3 linked regions of the Pelodiscus sinensis genome follow. The protein of the gene in region 3 purifies or fractionates together with the protein of the main gene of each other region. This does not show direct contact. Links are inferred from orthologs where the notes say so. Each region holds a gene or a part of one and is shown on either strand. Other genes may lie near its edges.

Region 1 (7,639 bases), on a different chromosome or scaffold from region 3:
GGGTCCCAAAGTAGGTTCAGCTTTGGTAGCAAGGTCAGAAAGGACATGAACTATCAACAGCACTACTCCTTAAAAAAGACTAGCAAATGAAGCACTGAGCAAAGAAGAGGACTTTGCCTTTCTGTTGCCTAAGACAAACGACAATGATGATAGTCAAAGGAAAACTTGGAATCAAGATGGGGAGGAAGAGTTCTATGACACCTTCATGTGACTGATGAATTTCAGGCACATCTGATTCTCCAGATATTGCTTGAGATGTGTGTACTAGAATCCCATCAGCAGTTGCGAAAAGACAAGAAAAACCCACAAAGTCAAAGAGGTATTAAATGTCTATTTTCCTAAACCACTCCTTATTGGGAACAATAAAAACAATGTACAGCTAGCCTTAATATCTGGGGGGAAAACCCTGTTAAGACTGTCCACTGGAAGCAGGACTGGAGGAGTCAATTATTCCACATCTAAAATCAGCAAGTTTTTTTCCCACTAGCAAAACTAACCTTTAAGCAAATATTTCCAGCACAAAGAGGTTACAAATATTTATAGACAAATTTATACTGAATTCTAAAAATGCTTATTGCAGTTCCAGGGAAAGAAGGCTCTTCCCTTCCCCCTTTAAATAATGATTTACTTAGCATTATTTTGTAGGGGAAAGAATGTTTATAAATAGTATATTTGTACATATACACACACTACTGTTACACAAATGTACATTCATATATATTATCTATAAAATGCATTGATATGCACAAGTACCAATGATGTGCATACACAAATATAACATGTAAATATTCACAAATATTTTATAGCATTTAGCCAAGCAAGTAGGCATCAAACATATTGTCCAGAACGCTACTGCAATGATTACAAACATCAAGATTGTAGTATTCAAAAAACAGTATTTGCAATGGGACTGGGAGGCAAGATGAAACCACATTTATAAATAAGTGGAGTGAACTCAAAACACTTTTACATATTTCAGGCCAGGTAACAAGCACATCATCCTCCCCCCCCCCTCCCCCAGCCTTCCACCCCCATTGCTTAGGGGACAGAGTTCTTCACATAAAGCCAGTGGCTTGACAGTGACATATGCATGCAGAAGCAAGCTGTAAACTACCCCTCCCCCCACCTTTAAGTATACCACCCACCAGCTCTGGAAAAAAATGAAACCAATATGCCATCTAACAGTATGTAAAAATTAGTAATCATCCTCTTCCTAAAATGCAATCACCTACAGGGCTCCTACAACCTATTCCCCAAAAATGAACAGCCAACTTGCAAACTTTCTGAAGTGATGCTGTCTACTGTTCTGGAATTGCTTACACTGCTTTTTAAAAAAAAATGTTAAAAAAAACCACAATTAAAATTCTCTACCTAACAAGGTAAAGTTAAATCAATTAAACAGCACAGAAAGAAATAAGATTGATTTTAAAATGGATGCAGCAGAATCTTTTAAAGAGCAACATGTTGCAACCACCTTTCATTTTAGAGGATGAGAGGGATTGACTGAAAGAAACAAAACTGAGCAGGAGAGGGTTGAATAAAAGCAGCTTGGTGATTTATTAAACCTAAAAAAAAAAAAAAAAAAAAAAAACACTTTGCCTTCCCCCTCTCTGGGAGGGTATGGGGGTCGGGAAGTGGCGATTTCTCCCGTGTTTCTCGGAAGGAGGCTCTTGCTCAGCAGTCAGGGGAGGAGGAGAAGGAGAGAAAGAGACACACACAGAAGAGAGAGGAGAGAGAAAAAGAAAATGGCGCAGAGACTAAGTCCCGACCGTCGATAAGGCGACTTTCTAGGGAGGAATCGGGGCCCAAAGGGGACTCCAGGGACCCCGGAGGGGTCGGATCTGGGGCCTGCGTTGCCCCCACTAGGGGAAGAGGGGGTCAGGTAGGACCTAAGCCCCTCGGAAGCGGGAGCATTTAGCAGCTCGATGGGAACAATGGGGCCGGTGAGCGAGGAGACGGGACTTAGTCTCTGGGACGCCATGTCTGTCCTTTACCATCCTCAGGAACACAGAAGGGGGGAGCGAAAGCGGAGGCAAAGTGGGGTAAATCGCCCCCAAAAGACGGGGGTGGGGGGCACACACTCACCGTTCGCTCGGAAATCCGCCTCGATCTGTAAGGACAAGGGGAAGCGAGTAAAAAAAACCACACACACACCAGAATACGGATATTTTCAAAACCAGCAGGAGCCCGATCCAGGGACAGTTTTAGGCGAAGGAGGAGGAAATCGACTCAGCAGCCCCCGATTGGTATCGAGACGCGTATCCCCCATCCCAAGGGCAGGGGGCGAAATTCAGACTCCCTAGCGCCCCAAAGTTTCAACCTTCCCCCCACCTATTTCGAGTCCCCCCCCCTCATGCTTCTGCACCCATTCTCCGGGTCTCCCTTCAACCCGACACCCTTCCCCCCCCCCCCCATGTAAAGGGGGAAGCTTCCCACCCTCTCTGGAGCGCGCTTTTAAAGGGAAGACAGGGTAAAAAAAATCCCTTCCCCCACTATGTGGCTTGGCTGGGATTTTCATGCGGGGCGGGGGGAGTTACAGACCCTTTATAGGGAAATCGCCAATCACAGAGAGGCCGGAGGTGCCCCAGGGCAGGGATCAAGGCATCCCACCCTGAGTGTCCGAGGGCAAATGGGGAGGGGGAACCAAGGGGAGAAGGGATCCAGAGCTCTCGGTGGGGGAGGGGTTCTCCCACTAAGGTGATACGGAGGACGGGGCACCCCGTGGCCCCACAGGATACAAGGGGGATCCGGGGCATCTCCACTGCCTGAGGGATTATTGGGGGGCTGGAGGGCCCCAAATGTCTGGGGCATAGGGGGGCGCACGGGTCCCTCACCTGGGAGTCGTTGTGCAGCTGGTCCCCGCTCATGCCGGCTGGTGGGGAGGCCTACACAGGAGCAGAGGCGCCTGGGAGCAGCGGAGTCTGTGGCCGAAGGGAGATTGCAACCCCCTCACTCAGCTCGGCAGCCAGTTGTGTAACAGACTAAGTCCTCATTTCCCCTCACTGCGCAGGCGCCGCTGCTTTTAACCCAGAGGAGGGGCTGGGACGGGGAGGTGGAACAGAGGAGTGAATTCCAGTATTTGCATTGCTCGACCACGCCTCCTCCGCCCTGCTCTCAGAACTCTAGGTTAGATTTGTATGGAGAGCCACGCCCCTTTTCCCCCCTCTCTGCCATTTACGAAAAACGCCGGTTAGCTATTTGCGTACTCTGCTCTTTTCCCTCCTTTCAGAACGCCGGGAAATTTACATATCCGGTCCCGCCCCATTAGTCAAGAAGTCCCTCTTTGATTTGCATATCCGACCACGCCTCCTCGGAGGGAATGCTCCGGACCTCCCACGGCGGATAGGATGAAAGCCTGTCCCAAGGCGCACGTAACGCTCATGCGCAAAAACTCTCCTGCAGGGAGGCTTTATTTGCATCTGAAGCCCCGCCCCTTTCTTTGCAAGCATCACCAATTGCTGACTGTCAGCTACAACTAAAGGGTTGCACTAGAAGGGCAGAGGAGCAAGGTATCAAAGCTGGAGAGCAGCCACAGCTTTATTTTCTGACCTGCTTCCTATACAGCTCTCCTCAGCTGCCTCTGACCCCAGTACACAGAACAGGGATCAAACAGCTGTTGGAGCGATGCTGGGTGCTCCCAGTACAGGGGTGCACATCTGCTGGGAGATCAGGATGGACAATATATTAGAGCCCTTCAAGCAGGCTGAGACAATAGCAAGAAGTGGATGAGAGTATATAGGGTTGCATCCCCTAAGGAAGCCCAGGGAATCTCCCATCCCACAACTTTCCCTCCCAATGTGCCTATTCCCTGGCACAGGAAGGGTTCAAGTGTAATTTTAATTGCTCATTTTCAAAGTCATAGTTTATAAATTAGATTGTAAACTCTCTGGGACAGGGACTGTGACTAATTGAGTGTTTGTATCACGCCTAGCCCACCACTTCAGCTGTTTGTCTTTGCTTGCTGCTGTGTTATGCTTTATTTAAGATTGTTCGTTATAACAAGACGAACACAGGGTGTTATAATGAACACCCTGTTCTGGCAGAAGAATTTTTTCAAGTTCTCCTGGTGATACCCACGATCGGGACACTGGCACTTGCTTGATTATGTCATCGTCCAGTCTCAGGACCATATTGATGTATGTATTATTTGTGCTATGATCGATGCTGGTGACTGCTGGACCAACCACCAACTAATGCATTCTGTGATGTCGCTCAAACTAGCACCAAGGTATGTTCTCACACAAACACCCTCCCCCTCAAAATCAGAGGGGGGGTTAGGGTTAGTCAAGTTGGTTAGTTACAGCCAACTTAGTCTGTAACTCAAAAAACATAAAAAACAATGAATAGTCTAGTAGCAACTTAAAGACTAACCAAACATGTAGATGGTATCATGAGCTTTCGTGGGCAAAACTCACGTTGTCTTGTTAGTCTTTAAAGTGACTAGACTATTCGTTGTTTTTTAAGTTTAAAAAAGAAAACAAAAAACCACCACTGCAAGAAGATCAACACAAAGGTTTTAAAGGAGCCTGAGACAAGGTTTATCTTCTAGCAAAGCCTTAGCAACAAGTATTGTGTTCTATCTATTGTATGAGATAGAACACAGTACTCAAGTTCTATCCAATCTAGATTTAAAAAACGACAGATCCAGATCTTTGACCTGCTTCCATAGTGCAAAAAAGCGTGTGAGACAATACATATGTATAAAACTGCCTCCTTTCCTGATTATACTGTAAGTCTCAGAACTTTTGGGCTACATCTAGACTGGCATGATTTTCCGCAAATGCTTTTAATGGAAAAGTTTTTCCGTTAAAAGCATTTGCAGAAAAGAGCGTCTAGATCGGCATGGACGCTTTTCCACAAAAGCACTTTTTGTGGAAAAGCATCCTTGCCAATCTAGATGTGGTTTTGCGCAAGAAAGCCCTGATCACCATTTTCGCCATCGGGGCTTTTTTGCGCAAAACAATACCGCGTTGTCTACACTGGCCCTCTTGTGCAAAAGCATTTGCGCAAGAGGGCTTTTGCCTGAACGGGAGCAGCATAGCATTTCCTCAAAAACACTGACAATCTTACATGAGATCGTCAGTGTTCTTGCGGAAACTCAAGCGGCCAGTGTAGACAGCTGGCAAGTTTTTCCGCAAAAGCACTTGTTTTTGCGGAAAAACTTGCCAGTCTAGACTCAGCCTGGGTGTATTTTCTTAAAGCCTGGGCTACTAGAATCAAAAGACTGCATGAGAATCTCAACTTTGTTTTAAAAGAAAAAGTAAGGCTCCAACCCTCGTGGTTGTAGTGAAAAGCTTGTAAGGGAGAAGTAAGTGCATCTTAAAAGCACAGAAACCAGATGCCAAAGAGAAATAACCCAGCATTTCTTGTTTAAAAATTAAATCTTATAATTTTGAGGGGGCTGGGAGAGTCTGACCCATGATTTTTTGAATGCTTGGATTTGTCAAAGCTGCAAGTACCTATTGCCAACGTCCATTAAAATAATGCTTAGAGATCCCTAACAGGGTTTCCTGGATTCCATATCAGAGCTAGTCTTGTGAGCTTGTCACCAGAAGAAAAGAGTTGGACAAAAGATGAACAATCACATACATAACTGCCATCATTCATTATTAGAATAACCTGCTCAGAAATATCCATACCTATTATGCTTTGAAACTAAATGAGCACAGTGCTTTCAAAAGCACTCCTTGTTTTCCGCCTTGATAAATCACTGCAATAATTCACAGTTTTATATGTAGGGGCAGAAGCAAAATACAGCAGAACTAGCAGATGTCATTGTGAGTTGGAACTTCCAAAGGCTAGTTTTAATTACTGAGTTGCACCTGGGAAGGGAGAGGTTTGGAGCAATCATGGGTAATTACTAGTTAGGGAATAGTAGCTGATATTGGCTTGCTTTATTACACGAAAGCTTGCATTTGCTGTCATAGTTGCCATTATTATTGGAGTCAAGAGTCTATATGGAAAGAAAGAGGATACATAACAGGAAAGGAATGAAACCAAACATTTTTAAATCATATTATGAGGGGAAAATTATATCTTCAGCTATTTGTCATGAATCTCTTCAAATGCATTGCACATTGTGAAATACATTCAGTAGTTTGGTAATGAACTGGGTGATGCGTGTGTATTAACACTGCCTTCTACTGGTTAAAATCCAAACTCTTCTGAGTCACAAGCTCTTTACTGCTAACCTATAAAAATGATTCTCCCTAACATGAGCTGACACAGCCACTCTTCCTAACTCCATCTCCCAGTGCAGAGCCTCATATTTGGAAACTACACCATAGGTCCTGCTATCTATCAGCAGTAGTACAGTACTGGGCATTATGAAATAGGCATTTCAGGGATCCCAGAATGCTCTGGAAAAACTACTCTTGCATGGTATGTATGTGGTGCAACAAGATGGCTCCATTACGATGCTGAAATGTTACAAATACAAGGAAACCATTTCATTGAATCAGTGTCCCTAGAATGGTTCCCTCGCTTTATGGCTGAAATTGAGTTAGTCAGTTTCACTTCATTTTTTTTCCCCCCTAGTCAATTTCACATTCTGTTTCTCATGCAGTAACACCTATTGCTGTGACATTCACAACACTGCAGGGAAATGTTTATCTAAAGATTCTTTTTACATTAGGTTTTATATGAATTTTTTTATCAATTCCTAAGCCTAAATTTGGTACCTCTATTTAAGGACAGTGTCCCTTCCAAGTACAATGTCTAATATTTCCCCCTTAGGTGGAAAATGCTGTGGAAGGGCATAATATCCCTATTTTGAACCTAGAAGAACTAAATCAGAGAAACTAATGGTCCCAGAACCATTGGGACCTGACCAGTCCTGAATGAGAGGATTTCCTGGACTAAGGGGGGGTTTCCTGCCACTGGCTCCCAAGCCTATTGCCTGCTGCTGGCAGGCTGTCCCAGCAGGCACCCTGCCTCATCCCCCCTCTCCCAACCTGGTTGGGTTGCTCACCCAGCTGCTGCTGGCTCCCTGGAAGGCACAGGGTCTGGCTCCTGGTCCCTGCCCCTTGCTCCAGGAGGCTGCTGTGGGGCTCTGACTTCAACCTCATGCTCCCAGGAGCGTGCTGTGGAGCCCCAGCTACATGCTCTAAGGGGCTGCCAAGAGACTCCACTCTGCGTTGCTGTGGGACTTGGGCCCTAACCCCACACTGCCACGGACTGCTGGAAGCTGCCACAGGGCTCTGAACTCAGTCCTGCGCTGTCCCCAGCCGGGCTGGCACTCCTGTCCTGAGGCTTCTGGGCTCTCTGGTTCATAAACATCTGCTGGACCACAGATGTTGCCAGACCAGAGAGTGCCAGTTTTTGGAGGTAAAACCTGTACATCTGAGTGCCTCTATTTTGAAGTGCACAACGTGAGAAACCTTGGGCCTAATTTTCAAGAGTGCTGTAAACGCCAAACTCCAGCTGAAGTCCAGGAGGATTGTGGGTGCTCAGCATTCTGAAAAGTAGGTCCAGGTGTCTCAATCTGGGCACTTCCCTGCAAAAAAGAAAAAAAAGAAAAAAAACCTCAAATAAGAGAGCACTTTCAAAAACGTGGCTTTAAATAACTTGGTCAAGGTCACACAGCAAGTCAGAACTGAAAATAGAACCTAGGTTTATGCTGGGATTTTAGCTACTGATG
Region 2 (7,032 bases), on a different chromosome or scaffold from region 3:
CAGCAATTTGTGGAGGTCTCTGATGGACGAAGTTACACATGTTCCTGTTCAGGCACTGGGCTGCCCAGTATGAAGAAGTCAGCCAACAGTGGGCCAAGTCAGTAATCTGCCATCTCTCGGGTGCATTGTGTGCAAAGATGCTTTGGGAGGAAGGGGCAAACATGAACACAGTGGGCTGCAGGGTTTCTGAATCGCACATATATCCCCAGGAGCAAATGGTTGAGCCCTCCTCTTTTTTGAGCATGTGGGAATAACTGCTTGGGTCAGGCATTCTTTCCCTAGGAACTAGTAAAAGTCTGGCCAGTCTGAAGTACAGCTGAGTTTTGCTCAATCTGCAGATTGAATCTCACAAGGAGACAGCATGGAATTTGGTGCCTAGGAGGTGATGGGAAGATACGGCAGTAAGGCCACTACATCTGCTAGGCAATTTCCATTACAGGAGACCTGATGTGGGATAAAAATCACAGAATACTAGAACTGGAAAGGACTTTGAGAGGTTATCTGCCCTCACAGCAGGACCAAGCACCATCCAGATCAGGGCTACTCAACTTTGGAAGCCACGAGGGCCACAATGATACAGCACATGCCAAGTGGCGCAACATAAGTGTGGTTGCACAAATATGCAAATATATATGCAAATACAGCGAGGAGTCCTGTGGCACCTTATAGACTAACGGATTTTGCAGATTCAGACTAACACGGTTACCCCTCTGATATATGGAAATAGCTTCTTTCACACAATGCCCCGGTGCTCCTGGCACCACCTTCCTGGGGGCTAGACACGCTGACACCCTGCACCCATCTGTTCCAGCCAGACTGTCCGCTTGCATCTTTCAATGCTCACCCCAGCTGGGAGACGCCTCGCCATTGTGAAGCACGTTCCCAGTGGAGGCCACGTTCAAAGGATCCCACCCGTGAGCCACGTGTTGAGCCCCACGTAAACCCGAACTGCATCATAGGCTGAAAACAAACATAGCCCTGATCTAGATCATCCCTGATAGATATCTATCCATCTTGCTCTTAAATATCTCCAGAGATTCCAAATCCTCCCTAGGCAATTTATTCCAGTGTTTAATCGCCCTGACAGTTAGATGCTACAGCCGTCGATCTTCCATCGTTCAATTCAGTAAAAACTAAAGATGTGAATGTGTACCCATATTCTGTAAATCTGTTCATGGTTACATCCATCCCTGCAGAGATACCTGCCTGCTAGCATGTAAATGTGTAACCACTGAAAAATTCAGCGGTTATACATTTACATAAATAAACGTATTTTAACATCCCTAGTAAATACAGTATAACTGAACAGTCGATTAACCTCATGAATTCTTATCAGTTACTTTACTATTCTACAGTCCCCAGGGGTGGGGTCAGCAGCCAGTGCACTCCAGCGCCACTCCTGGGGAGCGCTCTACCACTGCGCACTCCTGCCTCAGCACCAGTGCAGGGTAGCAGCAGCCCCTGTGTGAGGGTGGAGTCTGAGCTCCTGGACCCAACGTGAGCCGGAACTGAGCCAGGATGCCTGCCCACCCAGCTCCTAATACACTTTAAATGCAGAGCCACAGCAGGGGTAGATCCCAGACCCGTCGCAAGCCAGGACTGAGCCGGGCTGCTGGCCAGCCTACTAAAAAATTTACTGGTGGGGGGCTGGGGAGGAATGCATTAACCTATAAGCTTTTATTTATCAGTTAATCGACTATACTATTACATCCCTAATAAAGACCCCAATGAGGGTGCCACCATTGGCAGCAGTACTCCTATTTCTTGTGAAGAGTAAGGGAAGTTGACAGGAGCATTCCTCCTGTTGACCTTCTGCTGAGAAGACAGTGCCAAAGTATGGCATAAGATACGTCAACTCCAGCTATGTAAAAAAACAAAAACTTAACTTAAAATTGCGTACCTTAAGCTGACCTCCAGTAGTGTGGACCTGGCTTTTAGAGTCTTAACCCTGTCCCTTCCCTTTAAGGGATCTAAAAGTAAAAGTTAATTATCAAGGCAGTTAATTTCCTTGATGATCAAAGCACATGTTAAAGAGGAGGGCTGATACCCTACAGTGCACAATCTACTGCAGGCTGCAGCTCATAAGGCTGTCTCAAAGGGACACAACCTCCATTAAAATTGCTTCTCAGACCCCCTGGGCACTGTGCCAGGCAGGACTGCCCCACTGCTGGGCCAGAGAGCCGGGGCCTCCTCCAGCCAGTTGCTGCATGACCGATCCCCAGGCATTGGGCTGCCTCACTGGGAGCAAAGTGCCACAGGCTACCTGAAATTCTCCGCTGTTTTGGGCACAACATCTGCGAACAGCTCCACCTTCATGCGGCCAACTTCCTAGGGGGGAAAAGAGTGTCAGCGCCAGGCCCATGTCTAGGGCCAGGGCCCCTCTGCCCCCCCACCCTGCCCCCCCGGGGCCAGGGCCCCTCTGCCCCCCCCACCCTGCCCCCCCCGGGCCAGGGCCCCTCTGCCCCCCCCACCCTGCCCCCAGGGACCAGGGCCCCTCTGCCCCCCCCACCCTGCCCCCCGGGGCCAGGGCCCCTCTGCCCCCCCGGGGCCAGGGCCCCTCTGCCCCCCCCCACCTTGCCCCCCGGGGCCAGGGGCCCCTCCCCGAGCTCACTCTGCCCCCCACCCTGCCGCCAGAGCCCCCTCTGCCCCCCGCGGCCCCTTGCCCGCCCGGCCCTCCCCGCGGCCCCGCCCCCACCTGGCCGCCGATGCTGACATCGAAGAAGACCACGGGGTTGTTGGGGTTGGAGGCCAGCACCGACATGGCGACCCACCGGAACCGGAACCCGGACACCGGCCTCCTTCCGGCAACATGGCCTGCCCGGGTTCCGGTTCCGGACCCGCACTCGGAGGGAAGTTACATGGCTCCGGGGGACCCGCCAAGGGTTCGTCCAGCCCCGGCCACAGCCCGGCCGCGGGACTAGAGCCCAGCGCTGGCTAAAAGACCGGCCGCCCGGGAGATGCAGTGCGCAGGCGCAGCAGGGGCTGGGCGTGGCAAAGTGTGCTGGGAGTTGTAGTCCGCGGCTGCGTTCTGTGCTGCTTCTAGTCCCAGCATGCCCCGCGCCACTCCTCTTCCCGCCAAAAGACCGTCTCACGCGAGCCCGTAGCTCAGGGAGCGCTCCTATTGGACACGGTGCTACAGCGTGGGGGGGGGGGGGCGTAACTATGGTGACCCTATTCTCTGAACCAAAGTTAGGGACATATTAGCCACGCCCCTGAGCCCTACTAGCCACGCCCCTGAGCCCCACTAGCCACGCCCCTGAGCCTGCAATTGCATTGACCCGATTTGTGTCTCATTAATTGGGGGGGAGGGGGGACGCCGGGGGAAGTGTCCCCCTGAGGTTATGCCCACACTGGCGCCATCTTGCACCAGAGATATGCAAATGAGGCTAAGCGTGGAATATCGCCGAGCCTCGTTTGCATACCCAACGAGCCGCCATTGTCTGCACTGCCCCTCTTGCCAACGCCGCTAGTCCTGAAAATAATCGGCGTAGCGGCGTTGCACAAGGGGTTTCTTTTCCAAGCAGAAAAGTCCCAGTCTTGTTTCTCTCTCCTCATATGGAAGATGTTCCTTATCCCTAATCATTTCAGTTGCCTCTACTGTACCTTTTCCAACCCAATATATCTTTTTTTTTTTAGATGGGGTGACCAGATCTGCATAAACAAAATACAGGACTATGTAGCACTTTAAAGACTAACAAGATGGTTTATTAGATGATGAGCTTTCGTGGGCCAGACCCACTTCCTCAGATCAGATAGTGGAAGAAAATTGTCACAACCATCTATACCAAAGGATACAATTAAAAAAAAAAGTGAACACGTGATTTGTCCTTTTCATATGTGTTCACTTTTTTTAATTGTGTGTAATTGGGTTTGGAAAAGGTACAGTAGAGGCAACTGAAATGATTAGGGATAAGGAACATCTTCCATATGAGGAGAGAGAAACAAGACTGGGACTTTTCTGCTTGGAAAAGAAATGACTAAAGGATGGGAGGAGGATATGTTAGAAAATCATGAATGGCATGGAAAAAGAATAAGAAAACGTTATTTATTCTTTTGCTAACAACACAAGAAGCTGACCCAATTAAAACATTGATAGACAGCAGATTTAAAACAGACAAAATAAATTATTTTTTCACAGTCAATCCATGGAACTCTTTGGGGATCCCAGGGTGCAGCCTGGGACAGGGGTACTACTAACTCTCCAGCCTGGGCTGTCTCTCACAAGCCTTGCTAGTGACCCCTCTAAGTATTGCTCTCACTCAGGAAAACAGCACGTGGAGCCCCACAGCTAGGTAGATTCCATTCATGTTCCTTGAGCTACTCATGGATCACACACAGAGGCACCAAGTACACCAAGGCCTCAGCTCCTAGCACTGTATCTCAGGAATATACCATATAATTTATTAGTTGGTTCACCATTTTGTCAATAGTAAGTGCACTGATGCACTTAGTGAAGGATGCACAGGAGCTTTTTACTTTTGCTCACCATTTTGGACTCACAGTGAGCCTCAAGAGAACAGAAGTTTTGCCTCAGCTGGTCTGGAAAAAGCCCAGCACTCCAGTGATTGCTGCTGCTGGTACCGTCCTTAAGGGTGTTGACAAGTTCTGCTACCTGGGAAGTGTACTGTCCTCTGGCAGAAATGTGGATCATAATGTATCTGCTCAATTAGCCAAAGCCAGCGCTGCCTTTGGAAAACTAATCAAACGCCTATGGAATGACAGTGGTATTAAACTCCATACCAAGATAGTGGTTTATCAGGAAGTTGTCCTGAATGTCCTGCTGTAAGGCTCAGAGTCATGGACAATATATCGTCCCCATGTTTTGAAGTTCAATCAGTTCCATGTGCATTGTCTGAGGAAAATTGCCCACGTGCACTGGTGGGACAAAATTCCTAATACGGAGGCTCTTAAGCTGTGTGGTGTCACAGGCATGGAGGCAATGCTTATGAACAAACATTACACATCCATGATTAGATTTGTGTGCAGGAAATAGCTTTGGAACTAACCCTCTGAAGCTTCCCCATTGCCTGAATTAACCGGACCAAATCATTGGTCATTAAGATACCATAATTATAATGTCTAGACTGACCTTTGTAATAGATGATAAAGCCAAAATAAGGGGCACCTTAAAGTTTGATAATTCATGCCCTAAACTGTTAAATTTCCTGGCCACTTGCAATTCGTAATCTGGAGCCAATTCCCTCTAAGACAGTGGCTGTGTCATGGTGGACCCTTCTATGTTTCTTGCTAGCAGCGTTCAGCCACGACTCCCATCCTCATTGGAGTAGAGGTACAGGGAGGCAGCACAGGGAGGACACAGCTCCCTAACGGAGGGGTGTGCCACAACCTTATGTGTTTGATTGAATACTGTGGGTGGATTAACACAGTTCGATTAGCATCCTCCTGAATCTCCATCAAACCCATGGCACTTACAACAGGAACAGGAGGAACTAGAACTGATTTGGTGCACTAAACGCCATACGGATCAACTACTGACCACATTCAAGAATCTTTTAGAGCAACCTCAATCTGCATGGCCTCTCGAGGTCCCTTCCAGTCCAGGACTCTATGATTCTAAGTTGCAGCCTCCTCTTATATTCCTTTGCCATGTGGCTTGTACTGCCTTTCTTAGCACATAACTAAGGCTCAGAGTCATGGACAATATGTAGTCGCCATGTTTTGAAGTTCAATCAGTTCCATGTGCTTAGGCCTGGCCCTGCATATGCTGCTGAGCCTCAAGCTGTATCCCCTGCTTTCTCCATGGGCCAACTGAATAGCTGTTGGGCCAGGATGGGCCATCAAGCAGGCGAGGCAGAGCCTTGTCAAACTGTCTACGAGTGTGACCCAGAAACACAGCACAGGTTTTGTACCAGACAGCCGGACAGACACAGCCAGACCCTGAAAGCAAGAGCTGTACAAACACACCCGAGAGTCTGATAACAATATGGGGCAGCTAATAACACGTCCAAAGCCATGAATCACACCCTGGGTCAGCCACAAAGGGAGCCTGCCAAGCCCACCGTCCCCCATCCATCTAGGCCAGAACGGAGCACTGGATCATGCCCAAAGAGCTTTGCTTGTTTTCCTTCCACCCAGAACCCCCCTCTTCTCCTGGGCTGCCCAGAACCACCCTTGGGATGCCCTGAGACAGGCGCGGGACTCTGTCTCCCTGCAGCCCACTGCCCCCACAGGCTCTGGCAGAACAAAGGGGGGGGCCTGCTCGCCCCACTGTGGCTCTGAGCTTCTGCCCTGCCTCCCTCAGCTCGAGTTTCCATCTTTGCCCCATTCCTGCCTCTGGGCAAGTCACACAAAGGAGGCAGCAGAAAGAGCTGGCCCCATATGCCAGCCTCTGAGGGCAGGGGAGTCCAAGCCACCAGCATCCAACAGGACACCAGCCGGTGCCTTCCTACCATCGTCTGACGCAGAGCGTCAGCAGCCGTCCGCATGCTGGTCGCTGGGTGGCCTTCGCTCTGCGTTTGCTGTGCCAGAGGGTGGTCTCGGTGGCTGTCTGCAGGTCACGTGTCTGCCTGGTCCTTCCCTCTTGCCCTGCCCGGCCCTCGGTTGCTTTGTGGCTTTTAAGCCTTCCCTTGGTGCTGTCAGCACCAGCCTCCTCCTGCTTACGGTGCCCAGAGGAAACGGGAGCTGGGCTCCACCCTGGGGCTCCTCCTGCCTCCTGCTTTCCCCTGCCTTGTGAGCCTGGCCCTGGGCCTCCCTCCACGCACCACGGGAGCCAGGGGAAAGCAGGGTGGGAATTTCAGTCCGGCTAGAGATCTGGGAGGGCTGAGGTTGAGTTTCTCACTGCTTGACCTGATGCCCTCGTGTGGTCCCTGTTCCTGCAGCTGCCAGGCTCTGCCCCTTCACACTAAAGGGAGGGAGTCTCAGGGCTAGGCTGGGAGTCAAGGCAGGGAGGGGGCAGGGCGATTTCTCACCTTCATACAGCCTGTGCTTGCCACTGCCAGGCTGGCGTCTCCACACTGACTTCTTGACCATCAAACGTGCAGAATGTTGCACAGAGAGTTTGTCCCTGTTGGT
Region 3 (7,657 bases):
GAGTATCACTGCGGTCCCCGGGGCTTCCAAAGTTGAGTAGCCCTGATCTAGATCATATCCAACTGCAGTGCAGGCCCCAGTCTTTCTGTATCAGGCACCTTTCAAAGTCAGGTCCAGAAAAAGGTTGTGAGGGGCTTCCCATTTTTCAGTTTGGAGGCCATTTTCCCACCTGGAATCCATTTCAGATAGCCACAATGAGCAGCAGGTCATCTTTAAAACAGATCCCAACGCCATATGCAAGTGATGCTTACACGGCAGGCAATCGATAGTAATACCCAGTACACAACATACCCATGGACACACCACATCAAAGTGAAGCTACCAAACCCTGTGCATGAAACCCCCAAATCCCAGTTGTGTGGGAGCTGTGATTTCACCAGTACAATAATGACTATTTTACATGTACATATAAATACTCACACCATAAGGAATTCTATTTCTTTAAAGCAGAGGTGAGGAACCTTTTTTGGATAGGGGCCCCTGACAAACAAACCAAACCAAACCAATCCTCACTGATGTGGCTCAACTGAGAATGAGAAAGACATTCCCCTTGCACGCCAGAACTTTGGGGGCCCAGGCTAGTAGATGTAGTAGTTCAGTTTTGTGCACTCCAGCCCCATGGAGGAATAGTGAAGGGGCTGGAGCACTAGCGTGGGGACCCCAACCCTGAGGGGGACCCCAAGCCTCGGAGGCTGGATCTAGGAAAGCCAGGGGCCACATCCGGCCCCCAGGCCTCAGGTTCCACACCCCTGCTTTAAAAGAATAGCAGTGATTAGTTCCAATTTCTTAGATCATTGAAGATCTACCAAAAATTCAGTGAAAAAGAAATTTTCAACACCACTGCTAAACATACCACTGTTTCTTTTTTCATAAATACCATTCACATTCCTCGCTTCTCTAAATGTTCTTACACCAAGCTCACCACCAGACTCTGAATGCCTCCCAGACGTGCTTTAAACCATATGATGAACATGTCATGTCTTGGGGCTAACTTCTCTTACTTGGAGACACCAGAAAGTATCAGTAAAAATGAGCGATAGTCTACAGCTCTTGCTTAAAACATGAAAATCCTATTTGAATGTGCCCAGTAAAGGGGAAACTCACTTAAAACAGAGTAAGTTTCTTATTTTGTCCCACGTTCAAGACAAAATTCCTTGTCTTTTTCTGGCTATCAACAGGGCAGCCTAGTAGATTTTTTATTTTTATTATATTTTTATATACTTTGTTTTTGTAAATCTATTAAATCAGAATATTTAATAGTACATAAACATTTTCCTTCAAAACTCTAAGTAAGCTTGGTGTTGGGTTCTTTCTCTCTCACTTACTTACATTTTCTGGGGCCAGGAGACACTGACTCAGAAGAAATACAGGCTGAACCTCTCTAAATCGGGACTTTGGTCTGGCAACATCACACCACAGATGTTCCAAGACCAGAGTTCCAATGAAGAGCTGGCAGCCTAAAGCCCTGTGGGCTGACAGTCGGGCTGCCCAATTGGGCCTGGAAGCACAGTGGGGCTGACAGGGTAACGATGCCAACGGCAAGGGGTGAGCAGGCTGGGAGGTCATCAGCCAGGTCAGGGCTGGGGGGCCAGAAATGACCTCCCCTGGTCCGGCACAATCCCTCATTGTCAGGGATGAGGGACGGGTCAGGTCACAAGGGTGCCGGACCAGAGAGGTCCAACTTGTAATTACTTTTCAGCTTGCATCAGATGTCTGTGGATAACTACAGTCTTGATTAAACTTCAGGAGAACGGGAGGAGGACAACTAAGACCAGAATAACTTTCATTTCAGTTTTACATTATTTTGGTGCCATTTATGATAAACGAAGGCTTTTTGCACAAGTTTCACTGCACCTCATCAAGATCCTTGGACTCTCTACCCAGTTCATCGTCGTCGTCATCCGAGTCGAGCTCTGGCCCGATATAATTCCCGAACTCGTCATACAAGTCTGTGTCCATGATGCTACCGTGAGAGAGAAAGTCACGTGTAACGAGACTCCTTGGGGCAACGGTTTCCCGGCACCAGGGACGAAGCGGAGTCCTGCCCCCGACCCCCACCCTTGCCAGTTGAATTATTTATGAAACATCTGACAACTGCCCAGTGCGCCCCTACTCCCCCCCAGCCCGCCCAACACCCCGCCCACGTCACCTCCCTCCGAGCCCCCTCCTGAGCAATCAGTGCCCATCCCACAATGCACCGCGGCCACCCCATCCCCACGAGACCCCCTCTCCCAGCCCGTCACCCGCCCCAGGGCCCCCAGCGCCCCGCCCCCTCCAGAGCGCCCCCACCCCCCAGCGCCCCCCCGGCCCGCCCGTCACCCGCCCCAGGGCCCCCAGCGCCCCGCCCCCTCCAGAGCGCCCCCACCCCCCAGCGCCCCCCGGCCCGCCCGTCACCCGCCCCAGGGCCCCCAGCGCCCCGCCCCCTCCAGAGCGCCCCCACCCCCCAGCGCCCCCCGGCCCGCCCGTCACCCGCCCCAGGGCCCCCAGCGCCCCGCCCCCTCCAGAGCGCCCCCACCCCCCAGCGCCCCCCGGCCCGCCCGTCACCCGCCCCAGGGCCCCCAGCGCCCCGCCCCCTCCAGAGCGCCCCCACCCCCCAGCGCCCCCCGGCCCGCCCGTCACCCGCCCCAGGGCCCCCAGCGCCCCGCCCCCTCCAGAGCGCCCCCACCCCCCAGCGCCCCCCGGCCCGCCCGTCACCCGCCCCAGGGCCCCCCAGCGCCCCGCCCCCTCCAGAGCGCCCCCACCCCCCAGCGCCCCCCCGGCCCGCCCGTCACCCGCCCCAGGGCCCCCCAGCGCCCCGCCCCCTCCAGAGCCCCCTAGTCCCCCCCGGCCGGCCCCACTCACCCGCCGCCGCCTCCGGCCGCCCCTGCTCCTCGCCTCGCGCTCCGCGCCTTCCGCTCCCTCCCGGCAGCCGCTGCGACACCAGCGCGGAAGGACCCGGGGCTGGCCCCTCGCCTGCCCAACGGGCCGCTGGGATTCCCGCTGCAGCCCGCGCCGAGGCCGAGGTCGGGGTGGGGCGGGGCGGGGGGGTCGCAGGCCTGGGTCCGGCTGGCTCCGCGGGGCCGGGGCCGTTTCGGCGGAGCCGGATCTGATCAGGCGCGTGGCACGGACAGCCCTAGCCGGGGGCCTCGGCGCCGCGCCGCTCGTTGCTATGGAGACCGCCAGGAAGCCGGGCTGCGGCGTGGGCCGTGGCGAGGCGCGGGAAGGGGGATCGATCCCAACCCCCCCCCCCCCCTCCCCAGCGAGCGGCTAACGGGCCCCCCGCGGCAAGCGGCGCTGGGCGCCTCTGCAGGGCGATGGGGGGAGGCGGGGGGGCCTGGAGGGGGCGATGGGGGGAGGCTGGGGTGATGTGGGGGGAGGCTGGGGGGCCTGGAGGGGGCGGTGGGGGGAGGCTGGGGTGATGTGGGGGCAGGCTGGGGGGCCTGGAGGGGGCGGTGGGGGGAGGCTGGGGTGATGTGGGGGGAGGCTGGGGGGCCTGGAGGGGGCGGTGGGGGGAAGGCTGGGGTGATGTGGGGGGAGGCTGGGGGGCCTGGAGGGGGCGGTGGGGGGAAGGCTGGGGTGATGTGGGGGGAGGCTGGGGGGCCTGGAGGGGGCGGTGGGGGGAGGCTGGGGTGATGTGGGAGGAGGCTGGGGGGCCTGGAGGGGGCGATGGGGGGAGGCTGGGGTGATGTGGGAGGAGGCTGGGGGGCCTGGAGGGGGCGATGGGGGGAGGCTGGGGTGATGTGGGGGGAGGCTGGGGGGCCTGGAGGAGGCGGTGGGGGGAGGCTGGGGGGCCTGGAGGGGGCGATGGGGGGAAGGCTGGGGTGATGTGGGGGGAGGCTGGGGGGCCTGGAGGGGGCAGTGGGGGGAGGCTGGGGTGATGTGGGAGGAGGCTGGGGGGCCTGGAGGGGGCGATGGGGGGAGGCTGGGGTGATGTGGGGGGAGGGTGGGGGGCCTGGAGGGGGCGATGGGGGAAGGCTGGGGTGATGTGGGGGGAGGCTGGGGGGCCTGGAGGGGGCGGTGGGGGGAGGCTGGGGTGATGTGGGGGGAGGCTGGGGGGCCTGGAGGGGGCGATGGGGGGAGGCTGGGGGGCCTGGAGGGGGTGATGGGGGAAGGCTGGGGTGATGTGGGGGGAGGCTGGGGGGCCTGGAGGGGGCGATGGGGGGAGGCTGGGGTGATGTGGGGGGAGGCTGGGGGGCCTGGAGGGGGTGATGGGGGAAGGCTGGGGTGATGTGGGGGGAGGCTGGGGGGCCTGGAGGGGGCGATGGGGGGAGGCTGGGGTGATGTGGGGGGAGGCTGGGGTGATGTGGGGGGAGGCTGGGGGGCCTGGAGGGGGCGATGGGGGGAGGCTGGGGTGATGTGGGGGGAGGCTGGGGGGCCTGGAGGGGGCGATGGGGGGAGGCTGGGGTGATGTGGGGGGAGGCTGGGGGGCCTGGAGGGGGCGATGGGGGGAGGCTGGGGGGCCTGGAGGGGATCGTGAGGGATGCCAGACACAGGGAGCAGATGCTCAGCTTGCCACCCCCTGCCCCCTCCTCCCAGTGCTCCATGTGGCTTGAAAGTTTGTCTATTGGACCCCCCATTGCTGCTGCAGGAGACAAGCTTTCCAGCTACACCAGCTCTTCCTTCAGCACCCTGAACTTAAACCCTGGGTGCCACGCTGCACCCCCTTGTGAGGATGTTAAGGACTAGTCAACTATTCGATAAACAAAACGTGGCGCTGCCGCTTTGAAATGCCACGCGGAGCCCAGGATCAGCTGGGGAGTCCAGAGCTGACCCAGGCGCCGCGCAGCATTTCCTTGGCACCCGGGATCAGCTGGGGACTTTCCAGCTGATCCTGGGCTCCGCATGCAGCATTTCAAAGCACGCGGAGCCTGGGGTCCACTGGGGAGTCCCCAGCTGATCCTGGATTACTTGGAAATGCCACGCAGAGCTCGGGATCAGCTGGAAAGTCCTCAGCTGACCCCATCTCCGTGCAGCATTTCAAAGTAACCCTGAGTCCCCTGCTGACCCCAGGCTCTGTGCAGGCATTTCTGCTTTGACATGCACAAGAGCCACTGCTGAGGATTCTTGTACAGTTCAAAGCTGCCCTCCCCTCCCCCTTTTGCTCTTGTGCATTTCGATGCAGAAGCGCCTGCACGCAATCCGGAGTCAGCAGGACTTCCCGCTGGCCCTGGGCTGCACGCAGAGTTCCGAATTCCCCCTTTGAAATGTACAAGAGCCTCCACTGGGGAATGCGGAAGTGCAGGGGCTCTTCTACATTTCAAAGGAGGAATGCGGAAGTGCCGATCGACTACTCGACTAGTAAATTAACCAGTATTTAACATCCTTACCCTCTTGTGTACTTTGGGAAGGGCCTCACTCCAGGAGTATTGCCATGAAACAGGAGATTTGCAGAGTATTGTGCTACTCAGCAAGAGGAAAGGTTCCTGCCTGGCACATAGGGCTTTCTATTTACTGGCATCTGAATCTGACCTTGAATATTTTACACTCTCCCCACATGCCTATTGCCGATTTGTAAACTTTTAGGCTTTATTAACTGAAAAACAATTAGGAGTCCTCTGGCGCCTTAAAGACTAACAGATTTCTTTGGGCTGCTTATGCCCACATAAATCTGTTGGTCTTCAAGGTGCTCACAGGAGGAGTTCTAGTTTTCACAGATACAGATGAACACAGTTGCCCCCTGAGACTTTATTAACCACCACATTCTTAGTGGGGGATTTTAGCAAAGTTTGTGTGACAGCAGCCTTCAGTTAATGTTCAGGGAGTGTGATGATCAAGCAATACACAATAACACCTGTTTTATGTGACAAACTGTGACTCCAGAACAAAACCACTTTGTGTAGTAGAGGTTGGTCTTTAACAACAGATTAAAAATTGCACTGGAGACTTGGGCATCCTTTCAAGTGGTTATTTAAGACAGGAGTTTGCTTGACTGAGGTGGGATCATTAGCACATGACACACTCTAGTAGTTACTTACAGTAAGTCTAGCAAGAATTCTGGGGATGAAATGGGTGGCTGTGAAAGAGAAAGGAGTACTGTATTCTCTTTGTGTGATGCTTATGCACTAAAGTCACTCTTGTGGTTTTTATGTTTTGCTCTTAGATCTTTGGAATGGAGGAGGCTGAAGCAATAGATTTTTGTGCATTAGAGAGAGAGCTGCAGGCTGCTGTTGCTGCTGATGAAAAGTACCAAAGAGAAAATGATGCCAAGTTCCGAGCCGTTCACCAGAAGGTGGCATCCTATGAAGAGTTCAGGTTTGCAGGATTTTGGTTTCTTTGCGAGTCACAGTCTTGGGAATGTAACAATCGAACATTCTTTCGTTAGGATAAAAGTTTCATATTGATCACAGAATCATGGAAATGTAGGACTGGAGGGTGCCTTGATGTGTCATCTAGTACAATAAGCCCTTTTAAAAAATGTGTTTTTTTAGTGGTTAGGGAGAACAATTTATCCTCTTAAAACAACCTACTCTTTAAACCCTTGTCTTTTAAACAACCTTTTACGTACTTTAGGGCTATTATGTCCCCCTTCTGTCTTCTCCAGACTAACAATCCCATTATTTTCTGTCTTTCCTTGTAAGCCGTGTTTTCTAGACTTTCAATAATTTTGTTCCTCTCCTCTAGAGTTTCTCCACATCTTTCCTGAAGGGAAGTGCTCAATACTGAACAAAAAACTCCAGTTGCGGCCTTATCAGGCTGACTAGAGTGGAAGAATTATTTTTTGTGTCTTGCTTTCAGCATTCTGGTAATTTATCCAAGAATTATGCTTCCTTCTTTGCAGAAGAATTACATTGTTGATTTAATAACGAGTGGTCCAGTGGCACCTTAGAGACTAACCTGTCGTGGCGGGCCTGGGCGTCCTTCAGGCAGGGGCTGCTCTGGCTGGGCTGAAGCAACCCCTTCCTGAAATGGGGGGGCCACTCCAGCTCGGTCAGGCTTGACTGCTCCCCCACATACTCCCCCCATTAATTGGTTAACTGGGCAAACAATGTGTTTAACCAATTGAATGGGGTTTTGACATCCCTATTATCCAAATGATTTCTGAAGAAATTGAACAGAACCAGCCCCAGGACAGATCCCTGAGACCCCACTCAATCTGCCCTTCCAGCTTGGCTGTGACTACTCTCAGTTGCTTTTATAATGCCTTGTGCATCCCTCTTACAGCAGGTGCGTTTAGGCTGCGTTCCTCTAGTTTGTTGAGGAGAAGGCAGGTGAGACCGTATCAGGAGACTTGTCACATCTAATGCTTCTCCCTGTCCTCAAAGGCTTGTTGCTTTGTCAAAGAAGGAACATAAGGTTGGTTTGTTCTTGACAAATCCATGTTGACCACTACCTACCTGCTTATTATCTTCCCCTAGCAGACTCACCCTGTGCTGCCCGGGTCCCTCAGGGCAGGGCCTTGGGCATGTGGGAGGGGGGACAGGAGACTCAGGGGTGGAGAGTATGAGAATGGGGGCTGAGGAGGGGCTCAAGATGGGGGTATCGCACCTGCCCACCAGGGGCCTGTTCTCCCCCTCCCACAGGCCTGCTCAGCCTGCCAGGGGCCTGTTCCCTCCCCCCTCGTACCCTTCACCTGCCAGGGGCCTGTTCCCTCCCCCCTCGTACCCTTCACCTGCCAGGGCCTGTTCCCTCCCCCCTCGTACCCTTCACCTGCCAGGGGCCTGTTCCCTCCCCCCTCGTA

The links. The genes of interacting proteins can lie anywhere in the genome.
Region 1: the proteins of EFTUD2 (region 3) and TOP1 purify together in Homo sapiens (affinity purification with mass spectrometry; 3 studies listed by BioGRID and IntAct, with this or other methods). This does not show direct contact. The link is inferred for Pelodiscus sinensis from reciprocal best matches to the Homo sapiens genes EFTUD2 and TOP1.
Region 2: the proteins of EFTUD2 (region 3) and PPIH purify together in Homo sapiens (affinity purification with mass spectrometry; 3 studies listed by BioGRID and IntAct, with this or other methods). This does not show direct contact. The link is inferred for Pelodiscus sinensis from reciprocal best matches to the Homo sapiens genes EFTUD2 and PPIH.

Annotation. Positions count from the first base shown.
Region 1 is NC_134728.1:25,119,765-25,127,403, forward strand, and holds the start of TOP1 (DNA topoisomerase 1), read right to left. Parts: upstream 3,013-7,639; 5' UTR 2,868-3,012; coding exon 2,835-2,867; intron 2,111-2,834; coding exon 2,086-2,110; intron 1-2,085. UniProt on the Homo sapiens protein: Releases the supercoiling and torsional tension of DNA introduced during the DNA replication and transcription by transiently cleaving and rejoining one strand of the DNA duplex.
Region 2 is NC_134733.1:3,182,948-3,189,979, forward strand, and holds the start of PPIH (peptidyl-prolyl cis-trans isomerase H), read right to left. Parts: upstream 3,013-7,032; 5' UTR 2,762-3,012; coding exon 2,696-2,761; intron 2,329-2,695; coding exon 2,264-2,328; intron 1-2,263. UniProt on the Homo sapiens protein: PPIase that catalyzes the cis-trans isomerization of proline imidic peptide bonds in oligopeptides and may therefore assist protein folding. Participates in pre-mRNA splicing.
Region 3 is NC_134739.1:148,900-156,556, forward strand, and holds the start of EFTUD2 (116 kDa U5 small nuclear ribonucleoprotein component), read right to left. Parts: upstream 3,001-7,657; 5' UTR 2,842-3,000; intron 1,964-2,841; 5' UTR 1,960-1,963; coding exon 1,855-1,959; intron 1-1,854. Other genes in the region: DNAAF19 (Ig-like V-type domain-containing protein FAM187A), read left to right, coding at 4,480-4,648, 6,078-6,231. UniProt on the Homo sapiens protein: Required for pre-mRNA splicing as component of the spliceosome, including pre-catalytic, catalytic and post-catalytic spliceosomal complexes. Component of the U5 snRNP and the U4/U6-U5 tri-snRNP complex, a building block of the spliceosome.